2 linked regions of the Stegostoma tigrinum genome follow. The protein of the gene in region 1 purifies or fractionates together with the protein of each later gene. This does not show direct contact. Links are inferred from orthologs where the notes say so. Each region holds a gene or a part of one and is shown in the gene's direction. Other genes may lie near its edges.

Region 1 (15,907 bases):
TTGCCTTGTGTGACAGGCTGGGCTGTATTAACAACTTTCTGTAGTTTAAGGATCTGGATAAAGCAGTTGCCATACCTAGCCAGGATGCATTCAGATGGAATGCTTTCTACAGTGCGTTTACAAAAATTGATAAGAGTCTTCATGGACATGCCTAATTTGCTTATCTCCATAACCCTTGATATCTGATTAAAAAATCTAGCTTTCTCAGCCTTGAATATACTTACTGACTCAGCCTCTACAGTCCTTTGATGCAGAATTTAACAGGTGCACACCAAAAAAGAAACTCATCGGTTTAAACGTGTGACCTCCTACTCGGAGATGAAGCTGTTTGGTCCTAGACTTTTGCACAAGGATAGATTAGTTTCCGTATCTACTCCGTCAAGTCCCCCAACAATCTTGTATAATAAGGTTGTGCACCATTCTTCTAAATTCCAGTAAATGCCCACCCAATTTACTCAATCTTTCAGAAAAACAGTCACTCCACATCTAGGACCAGCCAAGTGAACCTTTTCTGGACTGTTTCCAGTGCCAATTTCCCTTTCTTAGACAATGGGCCCAAAACTGTTCTTGGAATTCTCACCATGGTCTGATGAGGGCCTTTACAATTTTTAGCAAAGCTTTCCTACTGTTATATTCAATTGCCTTTGAAATAATTCCCAACATTACATGTGCTTTCCCCAAATCCATGCCTGAAGTAGTAAATCAACATGTGCACCCTTGGTTTATCCTTTTGCGCTTGAAATCAATCTAACAGTGAGTGTGATTGACCTGTTGTATTGTCTACCATAGCTGAGAAAAAGTCTCAAGCGACAGCAATCAGCATCTACTGAAGTCATCAGATTAGAGTTGGTCTGCTCTCAGCTGGAAAAAAAATGCAGAGAAATGAAATCCCACTTGACAACTTGCTGTGTTGTGGGCAATACCTACAAAAAGGAAGGCAAACAAGTGGCAAGTTTTTGTCTACTCCTGGATACGAAGAGTATTGAGACTGGCAACGTGCCTCTCAATCAGATGATAGCCTGGAGATTTTATCACTGGGCTATTCGGACCCAGATTATGATCTGGAAATCCGGATTCAAATCCTGCCATTACAGATGGTGGAATTTGAATTCAATTTTTAAAAAAAGTCTGGGATTAAGAGTCTAAAGATGACTGCAAAACCATTATCAATTGTTGGAAAAGCACATCTAATTCACTACTGCCCTTTAGGGAATGAGACTGCATCCTTACCTGGCCAGGCCGAAATATGACTCCAGACCCACAACAACGTGGCTGACTCTTAACTGCCTTCTGGGCAACGAATCCTCACAGAGCCAGCAATGCCCTCATTCTGCAAATGAATAAAAAACAGCTGAAGAAATGACATATGGTGCGGGCTACGTTGTACCCTTCTCTCTGAATGTTCTCAAATGCGCTGAATCCAATTATTTTCGAGAGACCCATCTATCAGCATAACCAAGTTTAGTTTCAAACAAGTCAAACTTTCTCTACCACCTTAAGTTGCAGCCTGTGTCATCCAGCAAGACCTACTGAAGTGGAAGATGGAAGGAGGGAAATAAAGGCAGACATTCAGAGACTTCTGTATGGTCAGCCTGTCTCCTCAGTCTCCACATTGAACAGCAATAAACATAGGAATAAAGGGTCACAGAAAACAAATCTTCAGGTCCAACTCATCTCTGCCAACTTGATATCCTAAATTAATCTAGTTGCATTTGGCCCATAGCCCTCTAAACCCTTCCTATTTGTGTACCCATCCACATGCCTTTTAAATGTTCTAATTGTACCAGGCTGTACCAACTTTTCTGGCAGCTCATTCCCTAAATGCACCACCCTCTGCGTGAAGAGGTTGCCCTTTAAATCTTTCCGCTCTCACCTTTAAACCTCTGCCCTCTAGTTTGGACTCCCTCCACTGCAGGGAAAAGACTTTGTCTATTTACCCCATCCGTTCCCCTGATGATTTTACAAACCCCTATCAGGTCACCCTGAGCCTCTGACACTCCAGAGAAAACAGCTCCAGTCTATTCAGCCTCTCCCTACAGCTCAAACCCTCCAACGCTGGCGACATTCTTGTACATCTTTTCTGAAACCTTTCAAGTTTCACAACAGGGAGGCCAGAATTGCACACACTATTCCAATAGTTCCGAACCAATGTCCCATACAGCTGGCTCCATGTCCACCCAACTCCTGTGCTCAATGCACTAATCAATAAAGGCAAGCATAGCAAATGCCGTAACTATCCTGTTTCCCTGCAACTCCACTTTCAAGGAACTATGAACATGGATTCCAAGGTGTCTTTGTTCAGCAACACTCCCCAGAACTTTATCATTAAGTCCTGCCCTGAGTAGTCTTTCCAAAACGCAGCAGCTCACATTCAACTCCATCTGCCACTTCGCGGCCTAGTGGCCCATCTGATAAAGATCTCATTGTACTGAGGTAACCTTCTTCGCTGTCCTCCACATCTCCGACAAGGCTGAGGAGCAGGTGGTAGACATTCGAATCCTCTACACGATCATGGCTGATCTCAAATAAACTTTACTGACTACACACTAGAACCGCTGATCCCTTCTTTATCAGAACCACCCTAACTTAACCTTGTCAAGATACTGAATGATGCAGCCTCTGCTGCTTTCTGGGACAGAAAAGTTCACTTCACATATGTATCTAAACCCAGGGACCTTTTACTCTTAGATAACAAAGTGTGGGGCTGGATGAACACAGCAGGCCAAGCAACATCTTAGGAGCACAAAAGCTGACGTTTCAGGGCTAGGCCCTTCATCAGATTTTAGTCTGCCCCACATGAGGGAACATTCTCGCGTTATCCACCCTACCAAGTTCCCTCAGGATCAGATCTCCACAAGGTAACCTCTTGTTCTTTTAAACTTCAATGCTAACACAGCAACCTGTTCAACCTCTCATAAGCCCTTCGTTCTGGGAATGAGCTAAGTTAACTTTCTCTGAACTGTGTGGAAGAAAACTATATCCTATACAGCTGCAGTTAAACTTTGACTTGGATATCATATTCCCCTTGCAATGAACAATATTTCATCCTGCTTCCTAATCATTTGCTGTGTCTACATACTTAATTTTAAAAGCCTTGTACCACAACACTCAGATGTATTCTGCATTACCATCAGTTAAATAGCATACTGCTATTCTATTCTTCCTGCCAAAATAAAAACGTTGCTAACTTTCTACATTATATCCCTTCTGAAAACTTGTACCCATTCACTTCACCTTGCTATAATACTTTGCAGATCTACCTCATCTTGGCAACTTTACTTTTCTACCTCCCTTGGTATTATCAACTTTTGATCGCATATGTTCGGTACAGTTATTGAAAAAATGAATATGTATTATAAACAATTGAGAAACCAGTGGAGACCCATGACTGTCAACCCAAAAAGAATCTTGTCTTATTCTCTGCTTCCTGTAAGCCAATCAAATCTTCAGACATGTTTATTTGATACCATCTACACCACAAGCTGTTTGATTTGGCTGCTTATAAAATTACAATTGGACATCTAAAGACACCATAACTACTTGTTTCCATCTATCCATTATGAGAGTCACTTTAAAACTAAAAGAACTGCAAATGCTGTAAAATCAGGACCAAAAACAAAGTTGCTGGAAAGGTTCAGCAGGTCTGGCACCATCTGTGACGGAGAAATCAGAGTTAATGTTTTGGGTCCGGAGACCCTTCCTCAGAACTTGATTAAACAGGCTTTCCTATTCATATAGTGTCAGGTCTGCTGGATAACACCATTTTCCAAGTAACTTTATATAACCTCCTTAATAATGGGATCTACAATATTTCTGACAACTGATTTTTAAGGTAACTGATTTTTAAGATTTGAACATATCCTTGTTTCCAAATCCAGTCTTCTGGTACCTTCCCAAAATGGAAGAAATTGTTGGAGATTACAAAGAAAAGATCCTCTATCTGTGCAAGATAATAAAATGTGAGGCTGGATGAACACAGCAGGCAAAGCAGCATCTCAGGAGCACAAAAGCTGACATTTCGGGCCTAGACCCTTCATCAGAGAGGGGGATGGGGTGAGGGTTCTGGAATAAATAGGGAGCGAGGGGGAGGCGGACCGAAGATGGAGAGAAAAGAAGATAGGTGGAGAGAGTATAGGTGGGGAGGTAGGGAGGGGATAGGTCAGTCCAGGGAAGACAGACAGGTCAAGGAGGTGGGATGAGGTTAGTAGGTAGATGGGGGTGTGGCTTGGGGTGGGAGGAAGGGATGGGTGAGAGGAAGAACAAGTTAGGGAGACAGAGACAGGTTGGACTGGTTTTGGGATGCACTGGGTGGAGGGGAAGAGCTGGGCTGGTTTAGGGATGCGGTGGGGGAAGGGGAGATTTTGAAACTGGTGAAGTCCACATTGATACCATTAAGCTGCAGGGTTCCCAGGCGGAATATGAGTTGCTGTTCCTGCAACCTACGGGTGGCATCATTGTGGCACTGCAGGAGGCCCATGATGGACATGTCATCTAAAGAATGGGAGGGGGAGTGGAAATGGTTTGCGACAGGGAGGTGCAGTTGTTTGTTGCGAACTGAGCGGAGGTGTTCTGCAAAGCGGTCCCCAAGCCTCCGCTTGGTTTCCCCAATGTAGAGGAAGCCACACCGGGTACAGTGGATGCAGTATACCACATTGGCAGATGTGCAGGTGAACCTCTGCTTAATGTGGAATGTCATCTTGGGGCCTGGGATAGGGGTGAGGGAGGAGGTGTGGGGGCAAGTGTAGCATTTCCTGCGGTTGCAGGGGAAGGTGCTGGGTGTGGTGGGGTTGGAGGGCAGTGTGGAGCGAACAAGGGAGTCACGGAGAGAGTGGTCTCTCCGGAAAGCAGACAGGGGTGGGGATGGAAAAATGTCTTGGGTGGTGGGGGTCGGATTGTAGTTGGCGGAAGTGTCGGATGATGTGTTGTATCTGGAGGTTGGTGGGGTGGTGTGTGAGAACGAGGGGGATCCTCTTAGGGCGGTTGTGGCGGGGGCGGGGTGTGAGGGATGTGTTGCGGGAAATGCGGGAGACGCGGTCAAGGGCGTTCTCGATCACTGTGGGGAGAAAGTTGCGGTCCTTGAAGAACTTGGACATCTGGGATGTGCGGGAGTGGAATGTCTTATCGTGGGAGCAGATGTGGCGGAGGCGGAGGAATTGGGAATAGGGGATGGAATTTTTGCAGGAGGGTGGGCGAGAGGAGGTGTATTCTAGGTAGCTGTGGGAGTCGGTGGGCTTGAAATGGACATCAGTTACAAGCTGGTTGCCTGAGATGGAGACAGAGAGGTCCAGGAAGGTGAGGGATGTGCTGGAGATGGCCCAGGTGAACTGAAGGTTGGGGTGGAAGGTGTTGGTGAAGTGGATGAACTGTTCGAGCTCCTCTGGGGAGCAAGAGGCGGCGCCGATACAGTCATCACTGTACCGGAGGAAGAGGTGGGGTTTGGGGCCTGTGTAGGTGCGGAAGAGGGACTGTTCCACGTAACCTACAAAGAGGCAGGCATAGCTGGGGCCCATGCGGGTGCCCATGGCCACCCCCTTAGTCTGTAGGAAGTGGGAGGAGTCAAAAGAGAAGTTGTTGAGGGTGACCGCCCAGTTCGTCCCCTCCCCCCACTGCACCACACAACCAGCCCAGCTCTTCCCCTCCACCCAGTGCATCCCAAAACCAGTCCAACCTGTCTCTGCCTCCCTAACAGGTTCTTCCTCTCACCCATCCCTTCCTACCACCCCGAGCTGCACCCCCATCTACCTACTAACGTCATCCCACCTCCTTGACCTGTCCGTCTTCCCTGGACTGACCTATCCCCTCCCTACCCTACCTCCCCACCTATACTCTCTCCACCTATCTTCTTTTCTCTCCATCTTCGGTCCGCCTCCCCCTCTCTCCCTATTTATTCCAGAACCCTCACCCCATCCCCCTCTCTGAAGAAGGGTCTAGGCCCGAAACTTCAGCTTTTGTGCTCCTGAGATGCTGCTTTGCCTGCTGTGTTCATCCAGCCTCACATTTTATTATCTTGGATTCTCCAGCATCTGCAGTTCCCATTATCTCTATCTGTGCAGCCAGTTCTCTTTAAGATCTTTGGATATAGGCCATTGGATCCTGGCACTTTTGCTTTGGTGATAGTGATTACATTTTTTCGAAATGCATTCCTCCCTATCACCTCGTGACTGTTTGCTTATCTTTGGGAAGACTTTCCCCAGTCTCCTGACAAGTAGACAGCTACAAACCATGCGTTCAAAGTCTCAGACGTCCCCGGAAGACTAACACTAGCTTTCGTTACTTTTTTTACCAGTTGTTGAAGTATTTGCCAAAGTTCTTCCAATCTGTTTTTATGCTGCTGGCAACCTTTCCCTGACACCATCCACCTTTCCTTTAACGTAAAAGCCAGACCAAAGACTAATCTTGGGAGGGGCAGGAAAGTCTAACGTTTCAGGTTGGGGCCCTTTCCTACTCCTCAGAAACTGTCTGACCTGGTACGAGCCTCCAACTCCATACTTTATCAACTCATACTTCCAGCATCTGCAGTCCTTGCCATCTCCTAGCCTTTGGGGTTTGTAAAAGGAAAATTAAAAGCAGTTTTTCATTTCAACTGAACACTGATCTTCACCCAGCTAACAATCCTTTTGTAAGAGTTTTCCCTTGCTCACTGGGCCAAAACCAGAATGTAGACCCTCACAGAACTGGTACCTCCCGGCACCACGAGCAACGCTCTGACCTATTAATTCCGAATCGGTTAGGGAAGGATACCCAGACTGAGGATACACGCCCCTGGGCCCGTCCCACCCTGGGGACAGTAGTTGCGGTGGTAACTCTCCCCTCACCAACAAACCCACGGCCACTCGCCACAAGCACCGCGCCAAAGCCCGCGACAGGAGGACACACCCGGCATCGCCTTGCCGCCCCTCATTGGCCGAGGGGTACACACTAGCTCTCCACTCATTGGAGGAAAAAAAACTCCGTCATCCAAACGACCGTTGCCCGCGTGCTCCCACCCCCAACCACCGCGACCCCTTAAGGCCTCGGCCGAGATGTTCTTCCCATTCGCTGAGGCGTACACACCGTCTCCCGGCTCATTGGCGGAAAAGGGAGTAGGCCCGAAACATCAGCCTCGCGACTCCTCTGCTGATGCTGCTTGGCCTGCTGTGTTCATCCAGCTCCACACCTTGTTATCTCATTAGAGGAAACAGTCCGTCATCCAATCCGCACTATGTTCGTCCCCACCCCGCTTCCCGATTGGCTCTCTGGTGGGGGCGGGAACTGCGCTCCTACGGCTCTGCCCATATGTCACTCAGACTGAGGCACGTGCTGTCTTTCTCGCGCGACGCCCGACGCCGGCGCTAGACTTTCTGCAAAGGTCTTTGCCTCTCACCCTCGCTGCCTACCATGAGCGGCTGGATAGGATTGACGTCCACCGGTATAAGACTGGGTTCAGAGATAATGGGAACTGCAGATGCTGGAGAATTCCAAGATAATAAAATGTGAGGCTGGATGAACACAGCAGGCCAAGCAGCATCTCAGGAGCACAAAAGCTGACGCTTCGGGCCTAGACCCTTCATCAGAGAGCCCCTCTGATGAAGGGTCTAGGCCCGAAACGTCAGCTTTTGTGCTCCTGAGATGCTGCTTGGCCTGCTGTGTTCGTCCAGCCTCACATTTTATTATCTAAGACTGGGTTCAGTTGACCGAACGCATTTACCCCTTTATTATGGAGCCGAGGAGGTGTCGTTGGTTAGTTGACAAAAATACTTTAGAGGTTGGCTTTCAGTTAACAGATACTGTGTTGCCTTTGGAAAGGGGGTGGACGGAGAAGTTCTGATTAATTGCTGGGTTGTCGCTGTCTGAAACAGAGCGTTGGGAAAATGCGGACCCCGAGCCGGCGCGCATGCGCGTTTGGAGTCGCGCCGGCGGCTGTGGGGCGGGCATGTGGCTGCAGTACTCAGAGCATGCGCGGAGGTCCTGGAGAAAGGGTGTGTTGTGCGCCTGCGTGGTTGCCGCTCAGGAAAAATGGCGCTGAACCTCAGTCGCAATGGGCCCGTTCTGCAGGCTGCCTATCAGGATGTGGTAAACGACAAGGCCGCTACTGACTGGTGAGTTGTGGTCAGGGCGAAAGAAGATTCAGTAGGTTCCAGATTGAACCTGGATTTTGAGGAGGGGAAGGGAAAGCGGAAGGTTGCAGGTGGTCGGGAGTAGAGGCTCCTTTTCGAGTTTGTTGAAGGTGTAACATTGACTGATGAAGTTTGGTTGCTGGGTGTGGTGTTCGTTTGTGTGGAGAAGGACTCGAGCCTTTCGACGCCGGGGGTTGTTCGGCCCGTTGTGTCTATGGTGCCTCTCCCGATCAGACTTTGACTCTGTACTGTTGCCATGCCTCCCTGTGCACACATTCTGAGAATCCCTACAGTGTGGAAACAGCCCTTTAGCCCAACAAGTTCCACACTAACCCTCTCGGCATCCCACCTAGATCCATCCCCCTATAAACCCACCTAATCTACACATCCCTGAACATTATGGGCAATTTAGTATGGCCAGTCCACCTAACCTGCTCATCTTTGGACTGTGGGAGGAAACCAGAGCACCTGGAAGAAACCCACACAGACATAAGGAGAATATGCAAACTTCACACTGACAGTTGCCTGGGGGGTAAAATTGAACCCAGGTCCCTCATGAGGCAGCAGTGCTAACCACTGAGCCACCGTGCTGCCAGACAACAGTCAAAAATCTTATCTGAATGTCTCCAGTCACCTTAACTCCACTGCCCACTCGGGTTCTAGCTGCCAGCCACTTGCTGCATGAAAGGAAGTTCTCCTCTTGATGTTTTTTTTGTCAATGAGTTTAATCTGTGACCTCTGGCTTCCATTAGTTGCATTGTTTTTTTTGTTTTTATCCAGACTTGGGATTGGATTTTGAATATGATTTTGAATACCTTTGTCAAATCATCTTCCAGTCTTCTCTGAAAATTACGTCTGCAGTCACTCACTTGCAATCACAATCTTATTTCACTGAAATTCTTATCCCCAGAATCATTTATGGAGTATACACTTGTATTTCCAGAAGAGCTGTGCCAAAGCTACATGGTAGATGGATGATAATTTAATGGGATCCAATAATAAATTCTGTTGGGCTTTAGCTTATGAGAATGACCAGGAGGTGTATATTTGTATTTACATTTGAGTATAAATTAAGTGGTTATAATTGCTGATAATAGCCTAAATTGGCCATGTAGTTGATGCAGCGTAAGTTGTAAATGATAGCAAGATGCTGTGCATTGACTTGGTGAGTGAAACTAAATGTTAAAGAATAAATGAGATATGTGAATGGGTAAAGCAAACAAATTTAAGGGGTGGAGTAGAATTGTTTGAATTAAGTTTGGCTTGTTCACATGAATGTTAATAGATTACAACTTGCCACTTGCGGTGCTATTGTAGGTGCAAAGGTAGTGAGGTATAGAATCTTAGCACAAAGCAGAAAAATAAAGAAAACAAAGTTTTATAAAAAGTGAAACATTACTGTCCTCCTTTGTAAGAAGTAGAAAAGCAAAGGAACACAGTTAATAGTTAAACACAATAGTCCATAAGGACCTGGCCACTTCGAGTTTGCACTCAATGACTTGACCTCTCCCCTGTCACTACTCTGGGCTGGCTGCTGTTCCTGCTCCCACTTCCGCCTTGGAGTGCCAGCTACCCTGGGCTGCCAGTACTTGCTGCCTAACAGCCTGCGGCTGCTCTTGCTGCCAAATACCTTGCAGGAGCAGCAGCCCACGTGCATGCTATTCAGCCACCATCTTGAAAGGGATTGGATATAGATCTTGAGGAAGAAAGGGACTTTAGAACCAATGCAATTAGATCCCTGTAAGTGACAGAACAAGTAAGGTACTATAAGAAGGCATATACAATTCTTTCCGTTTTTAACTGTGGAACAGGAAGTCAGTGTAAAGAGTTATGCCAGGACACTGATAAAGAATTGGATGTTTATCAGAAAACCATGAGTATTGATTAATGCACATATTTGGGATGGAAGACAGTGTCATAAAGCATGCCTTAGGGATTTATGTTGGGACATTCCCTGAGATATGTTACAAGTGTAGGCCGTCTTGTGCAAGGGCATAATTACCAAGGTTGCAGAGGATGCAAAACTATGAAACATATTTAACCAAGGAGAATGGTGTAGAATTTCAAAATGACGGAAGAATTCATGGAATGTGCTGATAGGCAGTTGATGAAACTTGGTGTAGAGATGTGTAAAGTTTGGTAGGAAGAACATGGAAAAATAATGAAAAAAAACTTGAAAAGGGGTGCAGGAACAGCAGAAACTGGATGAATAGGTGGAAAAATCATTACAGATGACAGGACAGTTTGAGGAAAAAAATACTCAAGCAGTCAGTATCCAAGGCTTTATTCACAGGACATAGAGTACAACAGCAAGTAGGTTGTGTTGAACTTGGATAAGTTGCTAGTTTGGCCTCAGCTTGCAGTACTGCATCTAGTTCAGTGTGCTGCATTTAAGAATGGATGTAAAGACGGAGATAGTGCAGAAGATGTTTTTGGAAATGTTTCGAGGATTGAGAAATCTCAGATATGAGGATAGATTAAAGAAATCAGATCTGTTTTATTAGAAGCAAAGAAAGCTGAAAGATGTTTGACTTTGGTCAAGGACTGTGAAAGAAGAACTTGAGCTGTTAAACAAACAGGAAGAACAGGAAATCAGGAACTAGTGATTGCACAACACCAGCCACATGGCAAAATTTGCATGCTTTATGCTGATTTGTTCATGTCGCCACTTGGATTTTAGTTTAACTGCCAAAATGCAATCATGAGCACGCTCCATCTGTGATAACAAAGTGTGGAGCTGGATGAACACAGCAGGCCAAGCAGCATCCTAGGAGCACAAAAGCTGACGTTTCGGGCCTAGACCCTTCATCAGAAAAGGGGGATAGGGAGAGGGGGAGGCGGACTGAAGATGGATAGAGGAGAAGATAAGTGGAGAGGAGAGTATGGGTGGGGAGGTAGGGAGGGGATAGGTCAGTCCGGACAGGTCAAGGAGGCAGTATGAGGTTAGTAGGTAGGAAAGGGAGGTGGGAGGAGGGATAGGTGAGAAGAACAACATGTTAGGGAGGCAGGGATGAGCTAGGGTGGCCTTGGGATGCAGTGGGGGGGAGGGGAGATTTTTGAAGCTGGTGAAATCCGCATTGATACCATCAGGCTGCAGGGTTCCCAAGCGGAATATGAGTTGCTGTTCCTGCAACTTGGGGTGGCATCATTATGGTACTGCAGGAGGCCCAGGATGGACATGTCATCTGAGGAATGGGAGGGGGAGTTAAAATGGTTCGCGACTGGGAGGTGGAGATGTTTATTGCGAACTGAGCGGAGGTGTTCTGCAAAGCGGTCCCCAAGCCTCCGCTTGGTTTCCCCAATGTAGGGGAAGCCACACCGGGTACAGTGGATGCAGTGTATCACATTGGCGGATGTGCAGGTGAACATCTGCTTGATGTAGAAAGTCATCTTGGGGCCTGGGATGGTGGTGAGGGAGGAGGTGTGAGGGCAAGTGTAGCACTTGCTGCGATTGCCGGGGCAAGTGCCGGGTGTGGTGGGGTTGGAGGGGAGTGTGGAGCGGACAAGAGAGTCACGGAGAGACTCCATCTGTGACTTTGGTTTGACTTTTCTTGGTGCCACCTCCTAACCTCGACTCCCATTGCTTGAGCAAAGCCTTGCTTTGTACATCTGCAATTTACTTTATGTTCAGATTGTTATTCGCTGATAAGCAATTTAGTATGTGGGCCTGTTCCTAATCACTGATTACCAACAGGTCTACATTGGTGCTTGTGGTACACGGACAACTTGTATTATTCGTTCTGGTTAAACTGAAAAAGCTTATCTAACCCTACAGTTCCTTTTCCACTCTGAGTACTTCCAGCTTCTTAAATGATTTACATCATTCATCTCAAACACTCCCTATGAGAGTGAATTTTGCATGCTCCCAAAGCTCTGTATAAGAGCTTTCTTCTGAATTCCTTGTGAGGATTTTTTAGTGGCCATTTTATAGCTCTTCCTCTCAAGAAGAAATAATTGTTCTGAATCCAGTCCATATGTATCACAGTCTCAATCTGGCTGCACCTCAGCCTTTTTAAAAGAACAAAATCCAAGGTATTAGTCAAGTATTTAAAGTCTGTTGCTTTTTGCGTTCGTTATATTAAATAAGACTTTCAAAAATAAAGCTGAGATGCAGTGTGAAATTATTTTGTCATGCTGAACAAAACTCGGTAAGTCAAAAGGACTGGTGTGAACCTATAAATATTCACAAACGTGAAGTGCTTATATGATGGTTAACCACAATTCACTGCCCCTCTCAGTTGCTTTGACCCCAGCAACATGTCTGTGCAAATGTTGAAATAGAGAATCAATTGTCGTCTGAATTTGACACAGCTGGAGGCACAAAATCTTTTCAGCTATGGTTTGCTGTCAGTGCTGTTTTCTGGTAATTTTATTAAGACAGTGAAGATTTTGTTATTGGACACATGACCATAGCCCAGGTTTTTGGAGTGAGCTTTCTGCCCTGTTGTTCAACTGACTAACTTTCTAAAGTACTGTACAGCAGATGCCACTTGCTTTAGAGAATTAAAACATTAATGGAGACAAACAGTGCAGTTCATCAAGCCTGTCTTCTCAACTTGGATAATCCTGTCAGTGGTTTCCTATCAGATTCCAGATTTCTCCATTTCATGTGAGTTGAAGTCATTGATGGCCTTCGAAAGACCTTCAGTTTTGTTTCTGGGCTCAAGTCATTACAAAATAATTTAGTTTCCGTCTTAAAAGTGGGTTTCATTTCATCATTCTTATCATAATGCAGAGCGCTCCTCACCAAAGATTCTTAATTCCAGACACTGAGTTCAGCTGTGATGGGAGTCAAACCCGGCTCAGAATATGAGCTGAGTTATGAATTAATAGCCAAGTTATTAAATCTTTATTAATAAGATTGCAATAACTATTATTATTAATGGCACCACGCCATCGTCAATCCCTCTTTTGTCAATGTCATTATGCCCCAAATGGTTCAGAGTGCACCAAGTAGTTGACTGCTGGCCATGATTGTAATGTAGGACTCAACAGCCTATTTGCGCTTAGTAAGATCCCACACACAGGCAGTGTTTTGATCACTAATCAATTCATTGAAGTTCTGATGTTTTAAAGTTGAATGATTGAAAACACTATGGGTAAACTATTCCTCTGGTTGGGCAAGCCCAGGACATGAGAATCGAGTTGAAGCTCGGACTGATGAGGCTTGATGTGACTACTCAGTTGGAGAAATGTGTGAAACACTTCAACAGGATTTGTAGTCTGCAATTGAAATCGCTGGTGCGAGGAATGATAGATTTCTGTTTGGGAGTGGTTTCATGACAGCATTGACATTGATCTAACTAAAAGACTATTGGGCTTATAGCACTGAATGGCCTCCTTGTTGCAGTTTAGGTGTGTAGAAGGGCTGAGCAGAACCTCTCCACTGTAACATTATCAACAAAACTTTGGGCAGCACAGATGTCATGCGCAAAATGGTCTCCATGGTTCTAAGAATCTACGATGAAGCATTCTCACTGTTGTTGAATCTGCACACATTAAGTTGTTCCTAATCAGGGTCTGTTGTCTTGCCTGGCGATTGCTCCACATGTTTCTTTTCCAGTGATGTACACTTTTTCAAACTTCTCTCTGCCAATGTAATAGCCCTTTATCATGCTTTGTATGCTCACATTCCTGACCAAGCTCCTAACACTACTTTGAGTGAAGAAGGGGATGACCAAGTATCAGAGCCTGTTTTTAAGGAGGAAGGCTTCGGTCCTTAAACAGGTTGGTTATAAAATAGCTCCTCTATTGGCCTGACTTGCTCAGTTAATTTAGTTAAAGTCTGGAAGTCTGCAAAATTCTGAGTGGTTTTGAGAAGGAAGTCAATAAGGACTTCCTTCTGGTAGGAGCGGATACAATGTTAAGATCACAGATAAAACCTGCTCTTTGAATGCAGAGCTGCTATGATCTGTGAAAAAGTGCTGGAAACAGACTGGAAAAGGGAATTGAGTAATGATTTGAGAATTAAAGTATTTGCAAAACTAGGGTAAAAGTAGTGTGAAAATTTAGTTTACACACAGTCAACAGGAAAATAGCAAGTTTGGGGAGATGGGAGGTCCTATGAAGCCCATGATTTCTCTTGGTGCCACAAGCATGAAGTCAACTGAATAAAAGCTGAGCAGTCTGCTACATGGAAAAATCTGATACTACTGGGCCTGGAATTGCAGTTTGTTTGAAGTCATGTAAGTTCTCCTCCTTCCAGTGCAAAGTAGTAGCAGAGCTGAGTAATGGTTTGTCACAAGCAGGTGGACACCCAGCACTCAGCTGCTGTGACAGATCTTTAAAATTTTGAGTCTCCGTTTGACAGACACTAGTCTGTACAATTTGGCTAGTTCATGCTAAGTCAGAGGAACACTCAGTCTGCCACGGTTCTGATTCGTTCCTGTATTTTCCTCTAATGTATCTAGCGTGGCAGTTAGAGGCTGTTGGCCCAGTATCAATTAAGGCCACTGTTGGAGACAAACAAAACCCCATAGTGCTAATCATCGAGTGGTTGCAACACTGTTTGCTGTCTTTTGAATGAGGTGAGAATTTCCTGGCTTACGGGGACTGAGATGGCAGGTTTGCATTTGAAGTGTGGCCTGTTTGAATTGGCCATCATTAACTGAGAATGTGGTGAACAACATTGCCTATGTATGTAAGTGTTATTGGAATAATGCCAAGTGATGGCTGCATATGGCAGCATTTGTCAATGCAGCTCATTTCCTTTCAAGAGCTGGGTGCTCTCTATAAGGATGAGAGGAAATCTGATTGTCTTGTTTTCTGTTTTTCAGGGCACTTTTTACATATGAAGGCAACAGCAATGACCTGCGGGTGGCAGGGACTGGAGGTGAGGTCACTTCATCTACTTGTCATCTGTGGCTGGTACTTATCAGGTTAACATAGTTAACATCACTGTGAAATGAATGGAGTTCTTGGTTCGACACTGGACTAGTTAGAGTTGATCTGCCCAGATGCAATAACAAGACCTTGCTGCCTGAGGCTAATTGTGTTTTGTCCCTTTGTGAAATACTTGTTTAATTGTACCCAGACCAGATGGACAACACCTCTGGGTTCAGAAGATGATAGCTGGACGCAATTGATGAGGCATTGGTGATGATCTTTCAGGAATCACTGGAGTCCGGGAGAATTGAAAAATGGCAAAGAGGCACCCCTGTTTAAGAAGAGAGGGAAACAAAAGATAGGAAACTATAGACCATTTACTCTGACCTCTATCACTGCTAAGATTACATTCAGTTTATTATTAAGGATGTGATTATGTAGTACTTGGAAGTGCACGGTAAAACAGGGAGAGAGTCAGCGTGATTTCATCAAAGGGAGGTCACATCTGACAAATCTTTTAGAATTCTTTGAGGTGGTAACGAGCAAATTTGACAAAGAAGAGCTAATGGATGTGATCTGTTTGGATTTCCAGAAAGCCTTTGACAAGGTGCTGCACAGGAGGCTCTTTGTGTGGAGCTGATGGCCTAGTGGTACTATCACTGAACTGTAAATCCAGGGACTCATAATGTTCTGGGGACACGGCTTCGAATCCTGCCATGGGCAATGGTGGAATGTGAATCGGATAAAATTTCTGGAATTAAAAATCTAATGATGACCATGAATCCATTGTTGATTGTTGGAAAAACCCACCTGGTTCACTAATGCCCTTTAGGGAAAGAAACTGCCATCCTTCCCTGGTCTGGCCTACGTGTGATGCCAGACCCACAGCAATGTGGTTGACTCTGAAGTGAATTAGGGTTGGGCAATAACTACTGCTTAGCCAGCAATGCCCTCATCCCATGAATGAATAAAGCATATAAGACCCC
Region 2 (15,665 bases), on another chromosome or scaffold:
CAAGCGGAGGCTCAGGGACCACTTTGCAGAACACCTCCGCTCAGTTCGCAATAAACAACGGCACCGCCCAGTCACAAACCATTTTAACACCCCCTCGCATTCCTCAGACGACATGTCCATCATGGGTCTCCTGCAGTGCCACAATGATGACACCCGAAGGTTGCAAGGACTGCAACTCATATTCCGCATGGGAACCCTGCAGCCCAATGGTATCAATGTGGACTTCACAAGCTTCAAAATCTCCCCTCCCCCCACTGCATCCCAAAACCAGCCCAGCTTGTCTCTGCTTCCCTAACCTGTTCTTCCTCTCACCCATCCCTTCCTTCCACCTCATGCCGCACCTCCATTTCCTACCTACCACCTCATCACCCCCTCCTTGACCTGTCCATCTTCCCTGGACTGACCTATCCCCTCCCCACCTATCTTCTTTTCTCTCCATCTTCGGTCCGCCTCCCCCCCCTCTCCCTGTTTATTCCAGAACCCTCTCCCCATCCCCCTCTCTGATGAAGGGTCCTGGCCCGAAACGTCAGCTTTTATGCTCCCGAGATGCTGCTGGGCCTGCTGTGTTCATCCAGCTTCACACTTTGTTATCTTAGATTCTCCAGCATCTGCACTTCCAATTATCACTGAATGGCTCAAAGAGTGTTTTTCTGTGCTGTAAACCTCTAGAAAACTGTTGCACAGGCAATGCCCTGTTTCCGGCATCTAAAAATCCTTCCGTGTCACAACCATATCCCATTGATTTCCCACAACAGGCATGTGTGCCCTCTTGAAACGAAGGCAATGGATTCATGCCAGTTGAGGGCACTTATTCCCACTGAGTTGAGGCGATGCCTCAATCACCAATCGCCACCTCAATCTGCGTCTAGATTCAGTAGCCAGACAAACTTTTCCACCCCCACCAGGCACAAACTTTACCTGTTCCTTCGTCTCTTCCAGTGACATGCGCTCCTCCATCTCTTTCTTCCTCTTCCGTTCCTGCTCCTCTTTCATCTTCTGCTCCATCATTTTGTCCACCTCCTCTTCCTCTGCAATGGCCACAAGGGCAGCAGTTACAGATTTCATTTCTCAATTTAAATTAGATGCCTGTATCCATTGGGGTTTAGAAGAATGAGCGGTAATCATATTGAAACATGCGTGGTCCTGTAGGGAGTGGAAAGATACCAGGAGGCTGTTTCCTCTTATGAGGAAGACTGGCACTGCAGGACATTGTTTCAAACAAAATAGAGATGAGGAGAACAGTTTTCTCTCAGAGGGTCATTACAGTGTGTGGAATTCTCGTCCCTAGAAATCAGTGGAGGTTGGGATTTTAAACTTATTAAAGGCTGAGATAGGTAGATTTTTGATCAATAAGGGAGTTACTGGAAAATTAGAGGAGGAAATCAGGCAAGTGGACTGAAACCCACAAACAGGTTAGCCACAATCTTGTTGAAAGGTGGAGCAGAATTGAAGGGCCAAATGGCCTCTTCCGACTCCTGTCTGAGGTTTGCAGTTTTCTTACACAGTAAAGCCAGTTACATGGAATTAGGTCATAGATCAGCCACCACTTTCCTGTATAATGGAACAGGCTCAAAAGGGACTGAATAGCCTCCTGCTGCACTGAATAAGAGGTTGCAGAAAAGATAACACTTGGGGCTAGCTCCATGACACTCAGAGGGTTTCAAATCTTTTAGTGCACAAAGCCTCAGGCACCATATCCATCCATATTCCTGCCACCCACACCCACTCCCCACCATCTTGTTTTGGTGGATCAAAGACAGCTAACTGGGTCTCAGGCCCTTAGCTCTATCCTGCCAGGTCCCATTCAGTCTCTGGGATACTAGGGCAACTGTGGAAAAGAAAAAGTCATGGTTTTGGGGGTAATGTATTCACATGGATAGAAGATTGGTTGGCTAGCAGAAAACAGAGAGTGTGTATAAACGGATCCATTGGCAGGATGTGATGAATGGGGTCCCACACTTGCTGGGGCCTTAACATTTATAGTTATATATCAATGAGAGAAGTGAAGGCAGAGTTGCTAAATTCAGAAATGACACTATGATAGGTAGGAAAGTATGCTATGGAGGAGGAGTTTGCAGACAGACAAAGATTGAGCCAATTGGCAGAGGTCTTGTACATTCAGTGCAATGTGGTCAAACGTGAGTCGTTTACTTTGGCAGGCGTAGGGACTACGTATTTTATTGGAAATATAAACCAGCAAACCAAATTTTATCTTTATAACTGGAAACAAAAGTTGGACTGTGCGCTGTTCACTCCTGGGCCACACAAGCATTTATGACATTTGAGACAAATTGGATTTGATACTTCTGAGACACATGCTGGCACCAAGATCCTTAGTTAGGAAAAACATAAACTGGCAAGCAACAGCTTTTGGACTGGTTGTAAGCAGAAGTTCATCACAGAACTGAGAGGAGAGAGCGCAGTTGGGCTGCCATGACTCCAAAAACCCTCAGCAAACCAGACTGTGCTCGCCCACCCTCGCTCTGAATAGAAACAAACTAACACTGAAGAGGCTTTGTCAAGAGAGAGCTTAAGCAAGGCCAAAGCCCAAATGACTAGTTACTGACATGAGGTTTGCCAAAGTCAACAACAATACAGCACCAAAAATCAAAGAATAATGAAAAAGTCACGACACTTATTTCAGCATTTGGACTCTTGATCCACAGACATTGTTTGATTTTGCCTATTATCCCCCAACAATATTCCCGAAAAACTGTTTGCATTGTCCTTGCCGTTTATCAATGTGTGTGTTTGGATTTCAAGGGCTTCAGCTTAAATTTGCACATTAGTAATTAATAATCTGTTTTTGTCACACATGAGAGAATAAGCTTAGTATAATAAATACGTTTTTGGTTTCTCATTCATTGCTAAAACCTGGTGTGAGCTACTTTTCTCTTAGACAGTGATCACAATCAGATATTAACCATCCTAGAGATTAAATTGGTAATCCTAAAACTTGTGGAATACAGGCACTTAATTTCCAGTGATCTCTTTCCATCAAGGTTGACACACTGAAAGAATCAAAAGGCAGAGTATTCATAGAATCCCTACAGTGTGGAAGTAGACCATTCAGCCCATCGGGTCCACACCAACCCTCCAAGAGCACCCAGACCCTCGTTCCTATCCCTACAGACCTGCATTTCCCATGGCTAATCCACTCAGCACATCCGTGGACACTGTGGGAAATTTAGCATTGTCAATACACTAAACCTGCACATCTTTGGACTGTGGGAGGAAACCGGAACACCCAGAGGAAACGCGTACTGAAAAGGGTAGAATGCACAAACTCAGTACAGACAGTCACCCAAGGGTGGAAGCAAACCCAGGTCCCTGCTGCTGTGAAGACAGCAGTACTAGTCAACGAGCCACCATGCCGTGCTGCTCAACAGAAAATAACTTTAGAACTCTGGATAGGTAGCTATATCTTGGTATTTTAGTCCAGAAGTCACAAGACTTTAGTATCTAGGTACAACATGTAACCGATAAAGCTAATGGAATGCTATGCTTTATTACCAGGGAAATTCAATATAAAAGTTTGAATGTTATGCTTCTGTTAAACAGGGCATAGGTGAGACCACATCTCAAATACTACATTCAGTTTTGGTCTCCTTATTTAAGGAAGGATTAAATGCATTGGAGACTGTTCAGTGGAGATTTACTCTTGAGAGCTGGACCAAGTTGTTTTACGAGGATTGGTTAGATGGGCCAGTCTTGCTTCCACTGGAGTTTAGCAGAGTGAGGAGTGACTTGATTGAAAGATATAAGATACTAAATGGTTTTGACAAAGAGAACATGGAAAAGATGTCTCCTCTTGTGATTAGGGGCCACTGTTTTAGGACTGTTTTACACTTAAAGAAAAGTAAGTTCATATTTGACAGTCAACATGACTTTGCCAATAGCAGGTCATGTCTGACAAATTTAATTGAGTTCCTTAACAAGGTGATCCAGGCAGCAGATGAAGGCAGTGCTGTGGATGTTGTATATTTGGACATTAGAAAGTATTCGATATGGTGCCACATGCCAGGATGGTTAGCAAATTAGAAATGTTTGGTATTGATGGAATCTTGCAGCATGGATTAGAATTTAGCTAAAAGGTAGGAGCAAGAGGGTAAAGTGGGCATATTGCAGATTGGAGACAAGTTGAAAGTGATGTATCTCAGGCATCAGTGTTGGGACCCTTGCCTTTTCTGATTTAAAAGAACAATTTGGAGATAGGTGTTGAGGGAAAAATCTCTAAATTTGCACATGATACTAACTGAGGTAGAATAGTGAATTAGAGGATGACATTGAGCGGCTTCGCAGAGATATTGGCAAGTTTTCCAAATATGCAATACCTGAATTTCAATGCAGAGTAATGCAAGATAGTGCACTTTGACAGAGGAGACAGGGTGAGACAGTATGGGCTCAAAGGTACAACTTTGAAGGGAATACAGGAGCAGCGGGACCTCGGGGTTCACATGTATAATTCTCTGAAGATGGCCAGACAAGTTGGAGCAGTTGTTACTAAGGCTTATAGGAGTCTTGACTTTATAAAAAGAAGTATAGCATAGAAAAGGAAGGAACTGATGCTACACCTCTACAAATCATTGATCAGACCAAATTAAGAGGACTGTGCTTAGTCCTGGCACTTTATTTAAGGAAGGACATTAAAGGTCTGGAAAGAGTGCAAAGGAGATTTGCTAGAATGATACCAGGAATTAGGAATTTTAGATACAAGATAAGATTAGAGAAATCTGGCTTATGCTACATGGAGCAGAGAAGATTAAGATATGACCTTATTGAAGTGTTAAAATTTATGAATAATTTTGACAGAATAAAGAAGCATATTCTGTTTCCACTGGTTGGTATGTCAGTAACAACAATTTCAAAATTGTCAGCAAGGTGGCTTGGAGTGAGATGAGGAGAAAATCTTTATTCAGTGTTGTTAGGATTTAGAATGAGCTGCCTGGAAGAGTGGTGGAGGTGGAGATGGAGAGCTCTGGAGAATGAAACTAGCTGGGTAGATCTCTCAGGGATGGATAGACCAACTAGTGGGGGACATAGGTGGAGCTAGAGAGTTATGAAGCTTGGCAAAGCAGGTGGAGCAACACGCAGAATGGGAGTGGATAGGAGGAACAGACAGAACAATGGCAAGGTCAACAGGCAGAGGGAGGGCACCGGCAAGGCAGAGGGGGAGGGCACCAGAAAAGAGTGAGAGTTATCCAGTTTATGCCTTAACTGACTTATGGGTAGCATAGGATTGAAGATTCCCTGGATTGATTAATAGGCTGTGGGCAAGGTCCTGCGAGGAATGATTGAGTGAGTTGCACCCACATTCTTTGCAGATGATCTCAACCTGATCCCTTGGATACTGAAATTATTCTACGTGTATAATTTGAACAGACAGATCCAATATATTTGAGTTTAGAAGAATGAGCAGAGATCTAATTAAAATGGATAAAATTCTTCGAGAAGGAAGAATGCTCCCCAGCCAGGGGAGAAACACAAAAACATGGAGAAAGAGTCTTTGAATAATTAGTCGTCATCTCCCAGATTGGCATAAAGGTCGATATGAGCCAAATGGCTTCCCCTGTGTTCCTTTGTCCAACGGTCTCGAGCACTTTTGTCCCAGAGGCCTGCAAAATTCTTGTGCACTCCCCTTCTGGAAAGCCCAGTTGGATCTGCTTAAGCTGCCCTTTCAGGCATCTACCAGATCATAACAATAACAACACAGCATTCTGATATAACAACAGCACATATCCCAGGGAGCCAGTGACAGCATGACACATGCAGATTTTTCTGTTGAGCATTTTGCCAGATTGTCCCGCCCTGATCTACCTGCCAGACATTGTGTGAGCACACTCACACTTCCTTCCCAGCACTTCTACCTTGTCGTTTCCGTGCTCTCTCCTTCATGATGTGCTGGTGAAGAGCTCGCGCCATCGCGCTCGACATCTTGGGTCGTTCCAGTAGGGCGGGCATCGTCTCTGTTTCAGAAGGATCCAGACACTAGAACCTAAAACAGGTGAGAAAAAGCCATAAATCAGCTTTGTGTGAGGTACAGAATCGCAAGAGTAAATCTGGAAAACCTACAGTCACCACACTGTTTCCCAAGACCACCCGGTGTAGCACAGCTAACTAGAACTCCTAAAAGTTCCCCTCTGAAACACTTGACTTGGACCTACAGTGCTGTTTCCTCACAGCAACTGGGTCACACTTCCCACTTTCCCTTAACAGCACTGTCCCTATACTTCAGGGACTGCAGCAGTTTAAGGTGGCGTCTCACCACCACGGCAAATAGGGATGACCAGTAAATGCTGGCTCGGCTAGTGAAGCCCACACTTTACACAGAACGTACCACAAACAAATAACTCCGGATCAACCAGTCAATACCATTCTGTTTCGCTTGAAACCCAGAATGAGCCACAGCCAGAGCCATACTGGATTAGACCCCAGGAGGACAAGAGGCCAGGCTTCCCACAGATTGCATTCTCTTTCAAAACACGCTGGCTACACATAGGGTGCTGTGCTCTCCCCAAATCTCCCTGTTCTTCCCGGATTCTCAAGAACTGTGCCCCATTCCCTCCACTCTCATCGGTATGTCCTCCCTTCTCCATTTCCCTCTCACTGTTCTACCCAACCACTTCCACAAACACCCCTCCCACCTACCCTTCTCCTCTCTCCACGGGTCTTTTCCTTGATCTCCCCCACATCCCGCAGCTCCAGGTCCCCATCACCCTCACCCTGTTCTTCCCCTCACCATTCCCTGTTTCCAGGCCCCGGGCCGCTTTCCTCCTTTTCTCTCTCTCTTCTCTCTCTTTTCACTCCACCAACGCCATCACACTCCGCCCGCCCACCGTCAGATCCGCCCCGCAGCCGTAAAGCGAGACGGACGCTGAGAAGCGGGCGACGGCCTTGGCGCGCGACGGGATCGTAAAGCGGAGCCGCCGGTTTCCAGCGCGGAGGGGCGGTCAAATCAAACGGCGCTGCCGTCGTAAAGCGGATTTCGATACAGCTGCCCCGCAGCCGTCAAGCGGGTTAGTCTCCCCGGCCCTGTTACTCCTTTAGGACCCGGTTGAGAAGGCTGTCGTGGAGCAGGAGCGGGCTGAGGAGGGGGCGGTAAGCCCCTCTCTCCGCTCTCGGAATGGCGGCCGAGTTCCACCTGAGGACCGGCAAGTTGGTGGCGTTGCTGAACGGCAACCGCACGGCCAAGCGTAACAAGCCGACCGAGGAGTTCAACCACGGGCTGGCGATGAGCCGAGAGCCGCTGGGGGACGGGCAGCTCTTCCAGGTCCGGATCGACAGGAAGGTGAGTCCAGGGGGAGATGTAGATGTTTGTAACTCCACCCCCACCCTCACCCCCACCCCCACCCTCACCCTCACCCCCACCCTCACCCCCACCCCCACCCCCACCCCCACCCCCACCCTCACCCTCACCCCCACCCCCACCCTCACCCCCACCCCCACCCTCACCCCCACCCCCACCCCCACCCCCACCCCCACCCTCACCCTCACCCTCACCCCCACCCTCACCCTCACCCCCACCCTCATACCCAGGGGTAAGCTCAGTAAGAAACACCGGTGATTGAGGCCTACACCAGAAGGTGCACGGGAAGGGGAATCTCAGCAGGTAAAAAGGGGGAACACACCCCCCCCCCCAGCTTTAACATCGCTATAGCAGGTTTTGTGATTTTATTTTCTTAAATCATATTTAATCATAATTGCGACACCCCCCCCAAAAAAAAACATCGTGGATATCGCTAGAGGATTAAATGTAATGAGTGGAACTTGGTCCAGCAGAAAAAAGCTGGAGCTTGTCCCAATTTGCAGCAGAGAGGACCCTAAGCACCCCCTCTTCCCCCCCCCCCCCCCGGGCTGGTATTTGTCTGTCGGCTCGACGTGGCTTGTCAAGTAGCCCCCTGCCGTCCCCAGTTTTAAAAATTCAAAATCCCTCTCTGGTCATTTTGTAAAGGTTCCTCCCCAGCATGCCCTTGGACACCATCTCGAGGGTTCCCCCCCAGCCCCCAAGTGAAGGCAGCCCAATGTGATGGACAGTGCCAACTCCTGGCAAGGGCCAGGTGCAGAGGCGCCAGGGAATGGAACATTGGTAGAAGGTCCCGGAAGGGCGCAAAAGACTGGGCAGTGCTAGTGTAGAGAAGGAAACCAAGGTGATGCTTTGGTTCACTGGCCTGGTGCCACAGCTTTGTCAGTGGGACTGCACCATCTGGTTTCGAGGGCCCTTGTGTGCTCCATGTGATGGTTTGCACCAGATGTCAGCCATCAAATACTCTCAGAACAGGTACAGCACAGGGTTAGTTACAGGGTACTTGACTGTGTCTCCACTAAGCCCTCCCAAGACAAGGGTGACGTATGATTAGATACAAAGTGTTGCCTCTATGTTCTTCCAATCCAACACTCCCAGGGGAGGAACAGCACATGATTTCTCTAGTCTTTCAGACTGAAAATAAATAGAAAGTAAAGCTTGCTCAACATTGACCCTAACAAACATGTCTAGGATGGGGGCATCACAGGGTTACATAATGAGTGAGGCTGTCTGTACACTGTCCACATCAAACATTCCCAGCACAGGGCTAGATACAGAATATACTTCTACACTTTTAAACTGAAAGTAAAGCCCCCTCAACAACGTCTGCTTAAAACACCACAAGAAGAGATAAAGCAGGCGTTTTGGTGCAGAGTAAAGATCACAGTGGTTCAGTGGTTAGCACTGCTGTCTTCACAGTGCCAGGGACCTGGGTTCACTTTCACCTTCAGGCAACCTTGTGTATAGAATTTGCACATTCTCCCCATGTCTGCTTGAGTTTCCTCCCACAAAAATGAGCAGATTACGTGGATTGGCCATGCTAAATTGGACATAATGTCCAGAGACGTGCAGGCTAGGTGGATTAGACATGGGAAATGCAGGGTTAAGGCAGGAGGGTGGGTCTAGATGGGATGGTCTTCAGAGGGCCGCTGTTGGTGTGACAGGCCAAATGGCCTGCTTCCATGCTGTAGGGATTCTATGGTAAACTGAAATCAGAGCATCCTCTACGGTTTTAAAACTGAAACTAACACTTCCTCTACACTTAAAACTGAAAGGCACCTCCATCTGTGTCAAACGCTCCCGGGGCAGGAACAACAGAGGGTTAAGTACAGAGTAAAGCCATCTCCACTCTTTGAACTAAAAGTAAACTTTAAGTAATGGTCCACTGATGCCATCCCCATCAAACACTCTGGAACTGTGGCAGCACAGGGTTAAATGCAGAATAAACTCCTTCATTTTCAGTTATGAGTGGTGTACCACAAGGATCTGTTCTGGGTCCCCTTCTGTTTTTGACTTTTGTAAATGAACTGGGTGTAGGAGTGGAAGAGTGAATTAGTAAGTTTGCAGACGACATGAAGGTGGGTCAAATTGTAGATAGAACAGCCCTCCGCACTATGTTACAAAGGCACATTGATAGGATGCAGAGCTGAGCTGAGAAGTGGCAGATGGAGTTTAGCCCTGAAAAGTGTGAAATGGTTTATTTTGGAAGGACAAACTTGAAAATGGAACACAGGGTTAACGGAAAGATTCTTGGCAGCGTGGAGGAGCAGAGGGATCGTGGGGTTCATGTCCACGGTTCCATGAAAGCTGCCACCCAAGTGGATAGAGTTGTTAAGAAGGCATATGGTGTGTTAGCTTTCATTAATAGGGATTGAGTTCAAGAGCAGTGAAGTTATGCTCCAGTTATACAAAAACCTGGTTTGGCCACGTCTAGAATATTGTGTCCATTTCTGGTCACCTCATTACAGGAAAGATGTGGAAGCGTTGGAAAAGGTGCAGAGGAGATTTGCCAGGATGTTGCCTGGAATGGAGGGAAGGTCTTATGAGGAAAGGTTGAGAGAGCTAGGGCCTTTCTGTTTTTAGAACAACGAAGGATGAGAGGTGACTTGATAGAGGTGTACAAAATGATGAGAGGTATAGATAGTGTGGACAGCCTGAAACATTTTCCTCGGGTGGAGGTAGCTATTATGAGGGGAGCATAGTTATAAAGTGAATGGCGGTAGATATAGGGGAGACATCCGAGGTAGGTTCTTTACTCAGACAGTGGTTGGGCCATAGAATGCATTGCCGGAGAGGGTAGTGGAGTCAGCCTCAGCCTCATTAGGAGCATTTAAGCGGCAATTAGATAGACACATGGATGATAGTATAAGGTAGCAGTGGGAGTTAGATAGACCTTAGGTTTAGGGTAAAAGTTCAGCACAGCATGGGGAGCAGAAGGGCCTGTACAATGCTGTACTGTTCTATGTTCTATTTCTTTTATGAAAACTGGAAGTCCAAAATAATAATAATGAAACGCTTACTGCTGTGCATCGTATTGCAATTGAACATAAACTAACAGTCAAATGGAAACTTACAGAACCAAACAGAAATTACCCATGTCAAAATAATGTTGTAGACCCATAGAGCCATAAAGCATGGAAACAGATCCTTTCGTTCGACTTATGGGACCCCAATCTGGAGGGCTTACTCATTTGCCAGCATTTGGCCCACCTCCCTCTCAGCTCTTCCCATTCATATACCCATCAGATGCCTTTTAAATGTTGTAATTGTTCCAGTCTCCTCCACTTCCTCTGGCCGCACATTCCATACACACAGTACACTCTGTGTGAAAAAGTTGCCCCTTGGGTACCTTGTAAATCTTTCCTGTCTTGCCTTAAACCCTATCCCCTCTAATTTTGAACTCCCCTCCCGTTCGAAAAAGTTTGACTATTCACCGAATTCATGCCCCTCATGATTTGATAAACCCCTGTAAGATTGCACCTCAGCTGCCCTCACTCCAGTGAAAAATGCCCCAGCTCCCTCAACCTGTCCCTATGACTCAAGCCTCCCAGTCCCAGCAATGTCCTTGTAAATCTTTTCTGAACCTTTTCAAGTCTAACAACATCCTTCCAGTAGAAGTGCATCTAGAATTGTGTGCAAAATTCTAGAAGTGGCCTTACCAATGTCTGGTACAGCCACAACATGACATCCGAACCCCTATAGTCAATGCACTGACCAATGAAGGCAAGCATGCTAAATGCTGCCTTCACCACCCTGTCAGCCTGTGATTCAATGCTGCCCAGGCTTTGTGGTGCCCAATGGTCTCCAAAGAACTTTGCTGTATCTGTGAGCACTGCTCTGTCTTCAGCAACTCCCCAGCTCAAACATAATTGTGAAAGCGTGGCACCCCATCAGGAATGGGGGAAATCTTGGCCAGACCCAGCAGAAGGCCCACCAACTTGTCAGCCTGCACTAGGTGTCCGTAGATCAGGACCATGGGACTGAAGTGCAAGCAAAATTGAAGAAGCAACCCCTTCAAAAACCAAAAAGGAGTTGCAAACGGAAACATTCTACACCGATGTCAAGCACAAAAATTACGCGTCACCTGGCATCCAGTGGACTCACATCCTATGGTGTACCGGCCTGCCACATGCAGCACTCTCCACCCCGGATCCCCAGAGGAAAGGGGAAGGACCTCTTTGTAAATGGCCCTCCGCTGGGGATCTCTGCAGCTGGAGGGCAAAATAGTCTCGAAGCAACAGATGAAGGTGCAGAAGTGGAGAGTGCAACAGCAGCCAGTACAGGAAATACCTCTGTGCAGTGATTTCTGAAAGACAGCTCAGATTGTGAGGCACCACGTCATGGGGAAGGGTGGCTTGTGCAGGACTGATGTCGGGTTCCGAACGTACAGGAGTCAATTCAGCCGGGAGCCCGCTGCGCACACGCCTGAGCTGTCTGGGTCTTGCATAGGGCATCGGGGCTGAGCACGTTGTGCCTCAGGCTACGTATGGGTCAGGCTGTGAACCCTCTCGGCCAGCTGCAGCAGTGTCACTCAGCCCACTCCTCCTCCATCTAACACAGCCTTGACCCTGGTCAGCCCAGCATCCCAAGCCCTCCCCTACTTCAGCCAGCAGAGTTCACGCTGATGGAGGAACTCATTCCTGAGCAGTGGCTCCCTCACAATAGCTGCCACTCTTATAGGAGTGGCAATCCAACATGAGCTGACCATGTTCCAGATACAAGTCCAAGTAAAAGACAGGCAATTCTTGGGAGTAGATTCAAGAGCGAGACTATTCTGTGAACAGGAACTGCATGTCAGTATAGAGGCTGTGCACCTGACAGAAAAATGACATCATCAGGGCGCAACAACTTGGAGGGCCAATGTAAAGGTGTCACTGCAGAGTCTGAAGGCAAAAAGTCATTACCCAGGTGTGGAGGCACACCAGTGCCAGACCCCCATCTGAACTGCAGCAGGGACCTAGTGTTGCTTTTTGTCCCAGAAAAATGCTATGACCCTTTTGTGAATGGTTTGACAAAGCCAGGGGTTGGGACCAAAGTGAGCAGCCAGTACCATAATGTGGCAGCTCCCATCTGGTTTATGACCAGACCTCGTGCCCTGTAAAATGACTCTTCAAGTAGCCCTGTCTCGTGTCTTTGGTGAGTAATCACCTTGGCTATTTGTGCTAACTCACTGGCCAGGATTCCTCGGCAGGGCAAACGTGGCATTCCGGGTAGAGGAGGTGAGTGATACTCCACAAGAACCGCTGAAGCTGCTCCGGCAGGAAGTCCAACTGCCACAGATTCACCAGAAGTCCTGAACACTTACTCCACTTGATCCTCATGGAGGACGCCACAGAGTAGACCATCTGGCACTTGTGCCTCTTCCGTAAGTCAGCCGCTTCCACAAACGTGAGGAGCATGTCGTTGGCTTAAACTGAAAGGACCACCCCAGCTCCTTCACAGAACCTGAGACGACAGCCACCTCTGCAAGAGGCACTCGAATGACTCCACACAAGGAGAATGCAATTGTCCAGACAGGGAGGGTGACCCTGGTGCGCTCCCCTCCGGAAGTACACGGGTCCCATGAGGGACCTGGTTACCTTCCCTAGGTACTCCAGAGCAGTGTACAGAAGTTGAATCTGGGCGACAAAGTGTGTCCCAAACCCAAAAGCTCAAAGAGGCCCAAGTAGACACTTGTGATCCACTCTGTCAAATGCCTATCCCTGATCAAGGGAGAGAAAGGGCACTCAAGACCAGTCCTCTGGGAATGAAGGGTCACATCCCGGTTGGGTTGATGCTCTTGTGAATGCTCCAGCCTGGGACTGGTAAGTATGATATGGGTGGATTACGTGATCCAGCATGGTACTGAAGTGAGACAAAAGTGCCATGGCCAAGATTTTGTAGTCCAAGCTATGTAGGGAGACCAGACACCAGCTCTTCAATAAATGGAGATGCCCCTTTTTTAGACAATAGAGTTATGACAGCTCTCTGCCAACAAGGGGGCATTTCATCAGTCATGATATATTCCTTGATGACCCAGATGTAGTCGTCCCCAAGGACATCCTCAGAGGGGCATTGATCCTCTCCCCACCCTCCAGGCTGACCTGTGACAGGTCCTACCACAGAACTTTGTGAGCTTCCTCACTGGATAGATCTGGAAAGAAAAGCATGGGAATAGAAGTCCTTTACTTGGACTCTGATACTGTCCAGATCCAAGATGTGAGATCTGTTGTCAGCAAGCAGCACAAGGTACTTTATTTCCAACGAATAGAAGAGAAGGAGCCACAGTCTAGTTCTTGAGAAACTGGATCTGCAACCTCACATACGCATCCCAGGACTCAACAAGATGCAGCTCTCGGAGCATGTCCTTCTTCTCTTCGTACGGTCTCAATAGGAACTGGTCGACATTGGGCTCTCCAGATTGAGCGTCTCCTTCTCCAACTCTTTGCATCTGGATTTCCGCCCCTTTGACCACCACGCATACTGCTGCTTGAAGACATGCATGTGAGTTCTCCCCATGCCTGCCTAGGTTGCCCTTGTGTGCTCCGGTTCCTCCCACGTTCCACATTCAGGTTAGGTGAATTGGCCATAGCAAAAGGGTTACGGGATGAGGAGGGAGGGTGGGATGTTATTCGGAGGATCAGTGCCGACTCGATGTGCCAAAAAACTTCTCTCTGCATTGTAGGAATTCTTATGATTCTATGAAACTTGCCCACGTTAAAGCCTAAAGGAGGCGCAAAGCCCTCTCAGCTTCCTTCTCCAGTTGGCCCAGAAGTGTCAGAACAAGTTCTGGAACTGCCTGTCCTCCAACGGCAGGTTGTGCCAGTATGCCAGCCTCCCCCTTATGCAGAAGGGAACACGTGCCTCCCACACCAGTTTGTGATCGATGAATGGCACCTGCCACGTGGAGGCCATCAGACGCAGGAGATGTATGACCTGACCGTGTAGAGCTGGTCAATCTTGGATGGTCTAACTCCAGACTTGAGATTCTGCCAAATGTCTACCGAGTCAAATGACTTGACCAAGTCCCTCAACTTCCCCACTAATACCGAATTATTCTGATCACCTTTACAGACCCTCCCCTTGAGAGGACAATTAAAATCTTGCTCCAAGGAGAATGATTTTTGCCCTCATCGATGGAGCTCAGTTAGACAGTTGGAAGAAGCATGTCTGCTCTGGTCTCAGCTGAGGCATGTATGTGTTCACAAAGTGAAGCAGTGTACCCCCCCAAACTAAACGGTGAGTTGGAGTAAACAGACTGGCACATGCTCCATGACCCTCCGGTTCTGAGGTTGAAATCATGTTGCCATCAAGACTGCCACTCTGCCAGAGCATAATAGTATGGGTTTCCACCGCATACTCCCATTACCTGAGGAATGTAAAGTTACGAAACCTGCATTGTGCCTCTCTACTGGCATTGATGTTGAGGCTAGCTGTGGACATCTTCCTAACAAAAATATTGTACCACCGTCACTGTGTTTACATCTGTTGGTGATTCCTACCCTGCCGGTGCTCTGCCCGCATCCTCAGCAGTGACTGTGATATTACTAGCTAGCACAGCTCCCTCCTGCAGGAGGCTCTGTAAGGGGAGGGTCAGCAGTGCCACCCATGGTTGCTCAGCTGGATGCAACGGCGTTGGAGATGGGAGAGTTCTTTCTAAGGTGCTGCACCTATTCACAAGCGCAGCACCACGCACCGTCCGTTGACCAGAACGCACAGTAAGCAGCTCCTTTATGTTCCACTGACAACACACCCTCTGGGATCATCTCTTAGGTCAGGCAGATAAACAACTGGGACCAGAAGGAGTCGATGTGGTGAAGGTATGCATTGTGAAGACCAAGCAGTATGGGTGCCACTCCTAATCTCGCTGCCCTCAAACTTGCAGAATTGGGGAGAAGGGAATGGAACAAAGGGTGAGGCATTCAACAAAACGTCAATCAAAACCTCTGGAGAGCTAGTTGATAAGAATATCCCACCTACAGTGAGCTTCTCCTCCAGAATGAGGTACCTCACCCGCTTGGTTCTCAAGAAGAACACTGTCTTCCTGTACATTTCGAATTCGGCGATTAATGGCAGGAGAACTGATTACTCTTGCCCCCACACCACCACCGTTGGCTACTGTACTTGCTTTGGTTGCTGTTTCGGGGTGAATGTTGCACTTCACTCCATGCTATTTGGTTACGAGAGAGGAAGGCCATGGGGCCCCCACCGAGGCGTGGGGGTTGCAGAAGATCAAGAACGGTTGGGCCTTGTCACTGATGTTGACGTTCATGATCCTGATGTCATCATCCCTCCAAAGCACCACCCCACCCCATTTTCCAAAAAATTAGATTATTTTATGCAACACTGCCTCCTAACATCCATGCCTTCAGGCAGTATTCAA

What was found.
Region 2: the proteins of dbnlb (region 1) and neurl4 purify together in Homo sapiens (co-immunoprecipitation; 4 studies listed by BioGRID and IntAct, counting the BioPlex papers as one, with this or other methods). This does not show direct contact. The link is inferred for Stegostoma tigrinum from reciprocal best matches to the Homo sapiens genes DBNL and NEURL4.

The regions. Positions count from the first base shown.
Region 1 is NC_081393.1:1,034,654-1,050,560, forward strand, and holds the start of dbnlb (drebrin-like b), read left to right. Parts: upstream 1-7,934; 5' UTR 7,935-7,995; coding exon 7,996-8,078; intron 8,079-14,872; coding exon 14,873-14,928; intron 14,929-15,907. UniProt on the Homo sapiens protein: Adapter protein that binds F-actin and DNM1, and thereby plays a role in receptor-mediated endocytosis.
Region 2 is NC_081398.1:13,792,766-13,808,430, forward strand, and holds the start of neurl4 (neuralized-like protein 4), read left to right. Parts: upstream 1-6,981; 5' UTR 6,982-7,123; coding exon 7,124-7,288; intron 7,289-15,665. Other genes in the region: gps2 (G protein pathway suppressor 2), read right to left, coding at 919-1,028, 5,868-5,961. UniProt on the Homo sapiens protein: Promotes CCP110 ubiquitination and proteasome-dependent degradation. By counteracting accumulation of CP110, maintains normal centriolar homeostasis and preventing formation of ectopic microtubular organizing centers.